Linked DNA regions of Macaca mulatta. The protein of the gene in region 1 interacts with the protein of each later gene in a pairwise test. Links are inferred from orthologs where the notes say so. Each region holds a gene or a part of one and is shown on either strand. Other genes may lie near its edges.

The links.
Region 2: the proteins of FAM9B (region 1) and CDC42EP4 interact in binary tests that used the Homo sapiens proteins (3 or more experiments, as listed by UniProt). The two-hybrid records come from large-scale screens. The link is inferred for Macaca mulatta from reciprocal best matches to the Homo sapiens genes FAM9B and CDC42EP4.
Region 3: the proteins of FAM9B (region 1) and PIN4 interact in binary tests that used the Homo sapiens proteins (3 or more experiments, as listed by UniProt). The two-hybrid records come from large-scale screens. The link is inferred for Macaca mulatta from reciprocal best matches to the Homo sapiens genes FAM9B and PIN4.

Annotation. Positions count from the first base shown.
Region 1 is NC_133426.1:8,564,944-8,568,591, reverse strand, and holds part of FAM9B (protein FAM9B), read left to right. Parts: intron 1-769; coding exon 770-869; intron 870-1,715; coding exon 1,716-1,827; intron 1,828-3,204; coding exon 3,205-3,303; intron 3,304-3,648. UniProt on the Homo sapiens protein: May play a role in meiosis.
Region 2 is NC_133421.1:82,962,365-82,966,112, reverse strand, and holds the start of CDC42EP4 (cdc42 effector protein 4), read left to right. Parts: upstream 1-1,307; 5' UTR 1,308-1,410; intron 1,411-1,793; exon of another isoform or gene 1,794-2,418; intron 2,419-3,748. UniProt on the Homo sapiens protein: Probably involved in the organization of the actin cytoskeleton. May act downstream of CDC42 to induce actin filament assembly leading to cell shape changes. Induces pseudopodia formation, when overexpressed in fibroblasts.
Region 3 is NC_133426.1:78,727,790-78,731,537, forward strand, and holds the start of PIN4 (peptidyl-prolyl cis-trans isomerase NIMA-interacting 4), read left to right. Parts: upstream 1-1,089; 5' UTR 1,090-1,118; coding exon 1,119-1,161; intron 1,162-3,748.

The DNA.
Region 1 (3,648 bases):
GAGACTGTATGTAAAAAATATTTGCATTATGGTACAAATCTTTTATGATTGCTGAAAACTGTTTTTAGCAATTGATGGTAGGTCTCTGATGTGAAATCATGTTTAGGAAAGCATTCCTTGCAGTATTACAGTTTTCTGAAACACAGCACTATGGGCACAAATGTCATATAAAAAGCTGCAAGAAAATATTTTAAAAGTGTTTTTGAGTGTATTTCTTTACCTAAACCTAAATTTTCATACTCATGGCCATGGCTTCTTTTATTAAAATACAGTTAATAGCATCAATCACTAGATTGCTTAAAAATGCTTTTCTTACTGTGTATTAACTTATTTCTACCCTTTGGATGGTTTTACTATATGATACTTTTTTGTGTGCTTTACATAATGAGTTGTGCAGTATTTCATGGAAACATCTCCTTTGAATTGTAGGACATTTTGTAAATGTAGAAATTAAAGTCTGTGCTTATAACCCTTTCTGCACATTTAAAAAATAGAAACTTTTAATTATTTGCTTTTTTTCATCATCCGTCAATTAAGTGATTTTCAGTTATACAAATTGGAATTGAAATACGAATATTAATACCTGAAATGTTTTACAGAAAATAAGTGAGTAAATCTTGCTTTTTGAAATGATTTTTGAATTTTATATTTTAAATATCCTTCTTGTATTGCTGAACCATAATGTCCCATATTGATGTCAGTATATGCAAATAAACTACTTTTCAACATTAACTTTTAATCCATTTTCATTTACTAACTGACATTAAAGAGGATCTTACTGCAAAAAGAAAAAGGATGAAAATGGATAAAGCTTGCAGCAAAACAAAGAACAAAAGTAAAAATGCTTTGAGAAAAAAACAACTTAAAAGGTATGACTGTTGGCTTTCTCGCGTAATGATATTTATATCATTTCTTTGTATTCGTTGGTGCAAATAATTTCAAAAACTACCCTGTACATATTGGCGTCTCTAGTGAACAACATATTTTACTTGATTGTTCTCTAAGCAGGTAAGTTTCTTTAGTTTTATAACCTCAGTTTAACAGAATCAAGAGATATTACCTAGAAGTCAATGAAGATGACCTCTTTTTGCCTTCCAGATAAAAATAGTCTTCCTGTAAAATTAATGTTTATCCATTTCTAGAAATATGGTAGCTGCATATAAGATAAATGTTCTCAATGTTTAGTCTGTAGATCCTTAACAATACTGAATTATGTAGAAAGGGATAACCTTATGTTGTAAATAAGTTATCTATTTTAGTTAAATTGTTTTCACTATTTCTTTTACAAAACCATTGGTGTGCCAAAGTGGAGAAATAGTTAAGTGAAGCATTTCTTCTGGGAAATCTTACGGGATGAATGGCTATGATATTCTTGAACCTACTTATGAGAACCCATATGTTATTCAGTAAAAGGAAATGAAAAGTAAACTGCTCTTAGAGAAAATGAATGTTTCTGGGAAACTTATAGTGCAGTAAACCCTCCTTTGTCTTCAGCAGGTAAAGAATATAAGATAGCTGCTCTAGTAGTCAGGAAGGAAGGAATCCTTTCAGAATGAGAGCAACTCATTTCACCTTTTTCCAAAAAGAAGATTTCAGCTACTATTACTCCCTTGCTACTTTATAGGATAAATTATGTCAAGTCAGTTTAGGTTTGAATAGGATTAATTTTTCATCTCTCTATGAAGTTTGACCGTGTTACTTATTATGTGTTACAGGCAGAAACGTGATTATATACATTCTCTGAAGTTGCTGAATGTCCTTGAAGAATACATCACAGATGAGCAGAAAGAAGAAGAAGAAGAAGAGGGAGAAGAAGAAGAACTAATTGTTGGTATCAGGCTTAGCTTTATGTTTAACGTGTTGTATCAATGTCTCAGGGAGTAATTGTTCATGCAGAAATTCAGCAAAGAAGGAAGAGTGCATGAGCCCAGAGAGGGGGCCCGTTAGTGGACTCATATACCAGGGGAATATAATTGCCATGCAGCATTAGGGGTCCAACTGAAGTCAGCATCGTAACGATGAAGAAATTGAAGTGAGCCCAGTTGGAGTATTTGTGTAAGAGCAGCTGTAGGGTTGGAATTTCCTGGGTTGGGGTCTAGCCGAGCAGATTGACAGAGGGAGAGTTGGGCAGGGAATAGATGCAGGGATGAGGATAGATGACTGGCTGTGGAATTTCAGCTGGGACTGAGTTACCCGAGCACATGGGGTGGGCAATGGGCAGTAAACAGTGCTCCATTCAGTGGGTGTCAGGTCTCGACAGACTCCTGAGCTATAGTACTGAAGTGAGTGACCTACAATGGCAGGGAGGTAGTGGCTGTATGTTGGGAAGATGGAGAAACAGCTGACTACAGTGGTTCAAGGGCTGGGACTATGCAGCCACACTGCTTGGGATCCAACTCCAGCTTGACCGTTGCTAGCTCAGAAACCACGGAAAAATTATTTATCTCTGTGCTAGCTCGGAAACCGTGGAAAAATTATTTATCTCAGCTTGACCATTGCTAGCTCAGAAACCACGGGCAAATTATCTACGAAAGGAGACATGGTAAGAGTACCTACATCAGAGTTGTTGGAGGATCAAAAGGTTTCTATGTAACGGGTTTATTTAAGTTTTTCAGGATGTGATCTGACCCATGGTTGCTCCTTATCATTGCTATTATTAATATTACATAGGTGTTGCAGTCATTGGGAATGACAAAATCTAGGGGATGACTGTGCGAGTGAGTGCCACGTAGAGGAGAGGAGAACACTGTTGTTGGAGATTAAGTCAAGGTGCAGAAAGGCCATCATTATTGGGTGGTTCATCTATGTGCCTATTGAAATGACCAAGATTTAATACATGCTTAAAATCCTAGAAAGAATGTGTCTTAGTTAATTTCTGTATAGATCTTACCTATCTGTGGTCAACAAATTGTAGGAAGGTTCATCAAATATTCTTCATTGGAAATCAAGAAATTAGGACATACGTGTTGAATATGTGAAAGTAAGAAAATTATTTACTTAATGACTGATGAAAAAGGTTAATACATCATTTTTAGCATGTGATTGGCGAACACGATTGTTTAAAATTGGTCCTAAATGTTGTCTAAAAGAAAGTGTTCAGAAGTATTGATTTAAAGAGTATTCCTTTAAAGCTAATGGAGAATTGTGTTTTGTAAGTATTAAAATTTACCCAATTTTTATCACTATTTTGTTGTGGGATTCTAGAAAATATTTCAAGAACAACAGAAGAGGTGGCAGCAATATAGAAGTGTTAGGAGAGAGAGGCTGAAAGAGATGAAGCTGCTACGTGACCAATTCTTAAAGGTCTGTTCTATTTGGTAACATAATACATTATAAAATACACCACGTGCATAATGGAAGAAAGTCTGCTTGTTTCTGAATGTATGGAAAGACATTTTGGTTATACATTTTAAATTACTTACCATTTTCACTTTGAATGTATTGTTCCAGATATAATAGTATTGGTAAATGTATTTTTAGGATTCATGAATAGTTTGTAGGAGTTATTTAGAACAGGAAAAGGTAAAGTGGAAATTTTACCTAGAAATATACATCTTATGTATAAAATTGACACTTTATTAACACATTAACTTATTTATGCCAGAGGTTGCAAATTGTTTTTGTGTATGAAAAATCAGACCTTGGCAA
Region 2 (3,748 bases), on another chromosome or scaffold:
CTGTCACCCAGGCTAGAGTGCAATAGCACAATCTCGGCTCACTGTAACCTCCGCCTCCCGGGTTCAAGCGATTCTCCTGCTTCAGCCTCCCGAGTAGCTGGGATTACAGGCGTCCACCACCACGCCCTGCTAATTTTTGTATTTTTAGTAGAGATAGGGTTTCACCATGTTGGCCAGGCTGGTCTCAAACTCCCGACCTCAAGTGATGCACTTGCCTTGGCCTCCCAAAATGCTAGGATTACAGGCATGAGCCACTGTGTCCAGCCCAGAATTTAATTTTCACAGCAGGATGGAGTGGTCAGACCATCAGATCTCAAAAGCTGGTTGCTGTCGCACTGCAGAGGGAAACGGAAATGTGCAGTCCCCAGAAAGCAGAATGTCCCTGAGGGCTTAGTGACCTTGAAGCCGTAGGGAAAGTCTGGGGCCTCCACCCTCACTTCCTTTAAAAACCGAGGTTGGGGTTTAGCTAGAGGCAAGGGAACTTTTCACTTTGCACCTTGTCCACTTTCTTTTAGTTGACTACTTCGCAGCTGGCATTGTACCTTGATAATGATCATTTCAACTGAAACTATTCCTCTAAAAAGAATGGAGTCCAAGGCCTGGGAGTTGGATTCAGGCTCTGGGACTCAGGAGTTGATCTCCTTGACGTTCACCTGGAGCAAATTTAGCCTCAGCTGATACTTAGGAGGCAAAGGCACAGACTTGGGGATGCGGGGAGCTCAAGGGCTGTCACCCTGTAGAAACCCTGCTGACGCCCAGTTCAGGCCTGGCCTCGGGGCTGGCCGGCTCCTCCTTGCTCCCTCGTTTCCAGCGAGAGTCTGGGATGGCACCCACAAAGCTGGTGGCGTCAGCCCTCCTGCCCCCAACTCCCAACAGTACTGGAGCCAGGTGGTTAGCAGGTCCGGGAGGGAGCAAGAACGAGGGACGCCACCTGGGCTGGAGTTCTTGGTTTCCTGTCCTGGCTCGAATGGGGAAGAGCCTTAAGAGAGCCTCGCGCCAGGCCCCCGGAGGGAGCCGCGCCCCTGGCCCTGGGGGCCCCTGTGGGGGTTCGCGGCCGGAGCGCAGGCTGGGCCGGGGTGTCTCCCGGAAGCCGGGCTGGCCCAGGCTGCCCCATATGGAGTTGGGAAAGTCTCAGGCTTTCGGTTTGAACCTAGGAGGCCGAGCAGCCGGGCAGAGGTTCCCGACGGCCATTGGCTGCGGCGGCGCCGTGACATCAGCGCGGAGGGGTGCTCGGGGAGGGCGCGGGCGGAGCCTGGAAGGGGAGTGTCCTGGCGGCTCCCAGCCCTGAAAGCCCGAGAGCCAGAGGGAAACAAACGCCGGCGCTGACAGGGGCCGCTACCCCCGCCGCCGCGCGGAGCCCACAGAGGAGACAGCGCAGCTGGGTCGGCGCTCGGGTCCCCGGGGACCGAGGTAGGCGACGGGTACCCGCCTCTGGCTGTGGTAGCCGCCTTCGCGCTGGGTGCTCAGGGTGGGCTTGGGGGGGCTCGAGCCCCCCTGTGGGGCAGAGAGGATCCAAGCTAGGGATGCGAGGCCGCGGCGCGGGGAGAGGGGCGCGGAGTCCCCACTTCTCGGCGCTCGCGCTTCTCTCCGCACCCGCCGCGGTGACTGGGACCCGGAGACGCGCACCCAGTGTCCTGGCAGAGCGGGATGTGCGGAGGAGGGGGTGGCAGGGAGCCGGGCGCAGCGTCGCCGGGACTCGATTTCCTTTCTACGCTGGAACTCTTGGGCTTGGCCGAGGGCGCCGCTGGGCGGGTTGGGGGCTGGTTTTAAAGGGCCTCCCCCTTCCCAGGAATGGGGTGTGTGTCGGTGTGGGCAGGAGGGCAGCAATCGGCGGCGCGCGGCCCGCGATCTCCGCGAGGGGGGCGTGTGTGCGCCCGGAGTTCTCCATGAATAAGAACCGAATTCTCCGCCTGAGCAGAGGCGTGTACACATCTCGCTCTCGTACACACACTGCAGCACACGCCACCCAATGTCACGCGGCCGGGGAGCCAGCGGGAAGGAGCTGTCTGGAAGGGAATGGCCAAAGGAACAAATGCTTCCCCGTTCCCCCACTCCCGCCCCGCGAACCCTTCCCTTCCCCGCCAGGATCCCGCCCCGCCCGCTCCCTCGGAAGCCCGGGAGGTCGAGGCGCCTCCCGGCGGGGTGCAGGGGGAGAGCAGTCGAGCCGCCTGTCCCTTTGGAGCCCGAGAGGCTGCTGCGCACGGGGCCGGTGCACCCAGAGCTCAGCGCGCTCCGCGGGGTCGCTGGCGGGAGCGGTTGGTTAATGATTTAATCGCCCGCTTGGGGCGGGTGCGCGCGGAACGGCCGTCCCTGGCCCCGCCCCCTCCCCGGAGCGCCCCCAGCCGGGGTTACAAAACTGCCCCCTCCCTCCGGCACGTCCCCTAGGAGCCGTCCTGCCCGCGGGGATCCGGTCAGTCGGTGAGTGCCCAGGCCAGGAGGGCTGGAGAGCTGGGCGGGAGCCGGGGCTGAGGCTGAGCCGGCTTCCTGGGAGAGGACTGAAGTGCGTGTGTGTGTGTGTGTGTGTGAGAGCAAGAGAGCGAGCGAGCGAGCGAGAGGGACTGGGGGAGGGGTGCTCTCTGCTAACTCAAACCAGGTTGCCTGTGTTTTCCCAGTGACTGCGGCCTGGGCTTTGGAAGTTTTCTTTTTCTCCCTGGGAGAATGGAGGGGAAATACAATGCCTTTTCTTTTCTTGCTGCCTCTGGAACTTCTCTCTCTCCACGACTCCCACCCCTTGCAATCTGACCAGCTCCCACATCTCTTACTGGGTGCCCGGTGCCCACTGTTTGCCCAGATAGCTGAGCAGCTGGATCCGGGTGGAGTCCTCGGGAGCCCCTTCGCTGCGAAGCCCCCTGCTCTCCCCGGAGGGGCCCGTGTGCTGGAGGGAAAATCTCTCGTCCGAAACCAGCAGCCATCTGGACCAGAGAAAGGTCCCATCCAGCGAGTGTAAACAATGAGGGGCCGGTGACAGGGGCCTCCTGCAAGGCAACTTCTTTGGCAGTCTGGGTTTCCAATAACTCCCGCAGCCCCCGCCCCCTTCTGAGGCTAGGGTGGAGGAGGGACCACCAGCAGGATGGACTGAATTTTAAGAGAACAAAGAACAGGCCACAAAGGAAGGGATTGCTGAGCTGCGGATTTCTCCCAGAAATCGGGAGTTGGCTGGGACTGAGCCAGGCCCTGAGAGAACCCCTGGCAGCCCCAGGGGCTCCTGGAGCAATAATGGGGCATCCACCAGGATCTCCTGAGGCTCTATCTCTGCTGGGAAGCCAGAGCCTGCTGAATGCGGGGGTGCCCTGCCGGTTCCTGCTCTCACCAACTACCCTGTGTGAGCTGCCCGTGTGACTGACTGATTAGTGGGGTGGTTTATCTCCTCTGAACTTGGACTTTGCCTCTCCACTCCTTGAAGACAGCTGCTCCTTCCCACAAGGGGGGGAGTTCAGTGAATTTGGGGAGATCCCAAGTAGATTCCCAGGCATCCTGGTAGACCCCTGCAGGGACTAGGAGGGGGCCACTGTGATCCTATGGGTGGTGGTTCTGGGGTGAGTCTCAGCGCCTCCCCTCTGAAATCTCCCTGAAGTCCTAGGGTCCCTGCCACTGAGGGCAGTTTGCTCCTGCTCTGCGGTACAGCCTAGGCCTGTACTATGAACGATTCTTCCATTTCTTGGGGTTTCTGCCTCTCTCTTTTTACATTCCTCTTCTTTTTTCCCCCTCGTTTCTCTCTTACCCTTGGCCACCCACCGTGCTTGTCCCT
Region 3 (3,748 bases), about 70 Mb from region 1:
AGTGCATTACATATACTTCTTTTACAAGGAATCATATTCTTTATCTTGGTCTTAAAAACATTTCCCCAGGCCGGGCGCGGTGGCTCAAGCCTGTAATCCCAGCACTTTGGAAGGCCGAGATGGGTGGATCACGAGGTCAGGAGATCGAGACCATCCTGGCTAACACGGTGAAACCCCGTCTCTACTAAAAAATACAAAAAAACTAGCCGGGCGAGGTGGTGGGCGCCTATAGTCCCAGCTACTCGGGAGGCTGAGGCAGGAGAATGGCGTAAACCCGGGAGGCGGAGCTTGCAGTGAGCCGAGATCCGGCCACTGCACTCCAGCCTGGGCAACAAAGCGAGACTCCTCTCAAAAAAAAAAAAAAAAAAAAAACATTTCCCCTATCTGTTCAAAACCGTTATTTTGAATGTTGTATAATATATTTTTGTGTGGCTAAAACATTATTTAAGCAGTACCCGACTGAGGAGCACTTAAGACTGCTTCCAATGTTTCTCCATGACTGAGCTCTGCAAGAGGCAAAAGGGTAACAGGCTTTTTAAAAAACTACCTTTTGAACCCAATTAGCTACAACTGCAGAATAAAATTAACAAACGAAAAACTGCCAGGGCGGACAACCCTATGTGTAGGAGGAGACAGCAGAAGTTAGCCGCCACCACTGTTCCTCCTGCTTCCCTTCGTCTGGCGGCCCCGCGGGATTGGCCAGAGCTGGCGCCGAGGGACTGCAGAGGCCCCCGCGGCTCCTACTGCGCAAGCGTGAAAAAAGCTTGGAGGTTTCGGGGGTAGAGCGTGGGGAGTGGGGGATCTGGTGCAAATTACGGTGCGTGAAAGAAGTCACAAAAAGCGCAGAGGCGGGGCTTCCCGCCCTAATCCGGCCTTTGTCTCCGCCCCTCCGCCTTTGTTTCGGCCCGAAGCGTCTTATTGGTCAGACATCTTCAGCCCCATTGGTCCAAGAGCCAAAGGACAGGGTCTGCCCCGAGCTGTGCCTGCTTCCGGAGCCTCAATAAGAACGGTCAATTGAGATGCGGCTTTCAGGCATTTGTTTAGGACATGCCCATGGCGGTGTAAGGGGGCTTGAACGGCAACTGGAGTAGTTCAGAGTTCAACAACAAGCTTCCAAGATGCCGCCCAAAGGAAAAAGTGGTTCTGGAAAAGCGGGGAAAGGTAGAGCGGCCAGAGCGATCCAGGAGAATGGGGGCGGGTGAGGAGCGAAGGGAGGGAACAGACAGTCCATCTCCGGAGTCCGGGACGAATGCAGCAGGTAGCCAGTGGCCCCACAGTGGCCCCATCGATTCCATCTGTAGGAATACATTGGGCTACGGTTCAGGGAGCGCCCTGATGGGTAATGGAATCTGGTGGGGATAGTTCCTCGGAGGCGATGACTTTAGGGCTGCTATTTTGAGGGGTTATTAGAGCTCTAAAATTGGGTCTTATCAAAAGCCAGTAATAAGAAGTACACATTGATTATGGTCCTTAAAGTTCACTTTAGTGCTTACAGAATGACATGCCCTCCATCGGGGAAGGAATCATTCATCCATTGAACAGAAATGTGCCAGGCACAGTGCTAAGCGCTGAGGATATAAAAATAAGACAGAGGGCTGGGTGCGGTGGCTCACGCCTATAATCCCAGCACTTTGGGAGGCCGAGGGAGAGTGGATCACGAGGTCAGAAGTTCGAGACCAACCTGGCCAACATGGCGAAACCCCGTCTCTACTAAAAATACAAAAATTCGCCAGGCATGGTGGTGCACGCCTGTAATCCCAGCTACTCGGGAGGCTGAGGCAGGAGAATCGCTTAAACCCAGGAGGCAGAGGTTGCAATTGAACCGAGATCGTGCCACTGCACTCCAGCCTGGGCGACAGTGCGAGCCTCTGTCTCAAAAAAAAAAAAAAAAAAAAAAGATTTTGGCCTTAAGGAGCTCCCGAAGATAAAGGCTTAGTGATCATAAAGCACTGTACTAAATGTAGTGTTGAGGGATGTGTATGGGATATAATAGAAATTGAGAGAAGTGCTTCATTTAGCTGGGGAACAGGGCTTCCTGGAGACGAATTAGGCAGAGGTCAAGATGAGCATTGAGGGTAGGTTAAAGCATTCCTAACTTGGGGTCCAGCAGCAAAAGCACTGAGGTGGGAAACAGCATGATGTGAGCAGTGTAGTGTTGCTGGAGCAAAAACTCAAGGCAGAATGGCAAGTGGTGAGAATGAAAACAGAAACAGAGACCAGATCATGGAGAGTGCTATATGTGGTGCTAAAAAGGACTGTTAAGGATCAGAAAGACCTGTAAGGAGATTGTTGTGGTAGTCTTGGTGAGAGATGATGGTGGACTGACCTAAGGCAGTGGCTGTGGGAACTGAGAAAAGAGAAAAGATTCTGTAAACATTAGGATGTGAAATAGTCAAGACTTAGTGATTTATTGGGTTGGGGAGGGGTGGTGAGGGAGGATCAACGATCATTCTGTTTTCTGGATTGGATTTCTAACCTGTTGCAGGTCCTGCAGGCTAACATCAAGGATACATGAGGAGCAGGGATGAGACTGATGAATTCACTTTCAGATAGATTGGCTTTGAGGTGTCTGTGGGACATCTCAGTGGAGATGTAGTCAGGAAGTGGTTGAATATTTGAGTCTGAAGTTTGAGGGAGAGGTCTAGACTGTACATGTAAGTTTTAGGAGTCATTAACTTATAGATGGTAGTTGCGCCCATTAGAGTGTATGCAGTTATCCATGGTGAGTTTATAGAATTAAAAGAGCAGAGAGCAGAGGATGTGATCTAGGACAGGCAGAGAAAGGCAGACAGATAGAGGGAGTGCAGAATGGTGGCCAGAGGCAGGAGAGACCAGAATGTTTTAAAGAGAGAGGGTATAGTCTATCAAGCACGGCAGATTTGGAAATTAGAGGTGGCCTTGGGTAAAAGTGATTTCAGTGAAACAAAAGCCAGATTGCAGTGACTATAGAACTGACTGGGAAGTGGTAATTTGGACTTCTTGAAAAGTTTTAATTGAAAAGCATGGAAATGGGATGGTAGATAGAGGAGGACAGAGGATTAAGAGAAAGTTTTATTTTCTTTGCTTCTTTGGAATGGGGAAAACTTGGGAGTGAAGCTGAAGGATCCAGTAAAGTAAAAGAGGTAAAGGTACAGAGGAGTGAGATTTAGGAGAAAATGGAATCCAGGACCTAAGGGGAGCAGGGACACCTTATGCTTGAGGTCATAGGAAAGGAGATGGAGGGGCAGGGAGTCAGTAGGCATCTTGAGGAGAGTGATAAAGGTCTGGAATATTGTAATGGGAGATGGAATGAAACAAAAGTAAAAGAAGTGCCCTCAGGGCTAGGAGCCTGACTGAGATCAAAGGCCATGAATTTGTAGACTACATAATATTCACAGTCTGATTTACGTGGTACCATGCAACTGGCACAATATAGGATTGAAAAGAGCTAGGTGCAGCCTTAAGCCGTGGTTGAGGTTTTGTTAGGCAGTTATGATAGGACGATAGCAACACAAGGGAATTACAAGGGCCAGTGGGAATGCAGTTCAGATGAACGAGCATGGGGTCCAGAGTGGGAAGGTGAAAAGAGGTCTGGTGGTCTAGGTGAATGTAGCAGGACAAAGGGACTGGGGTCGAGGGGGAGGTTCTGTGAAGTCAGAGAGCCAGTACTGTGGGAATGAGACATGAGAAAGCTGGAAGGACAGGAGGTTATAGCCAGAGACTGAACTAGTTCTGAGTGGCACAGTTGCATTGTGTGCCCCCGGGGCCG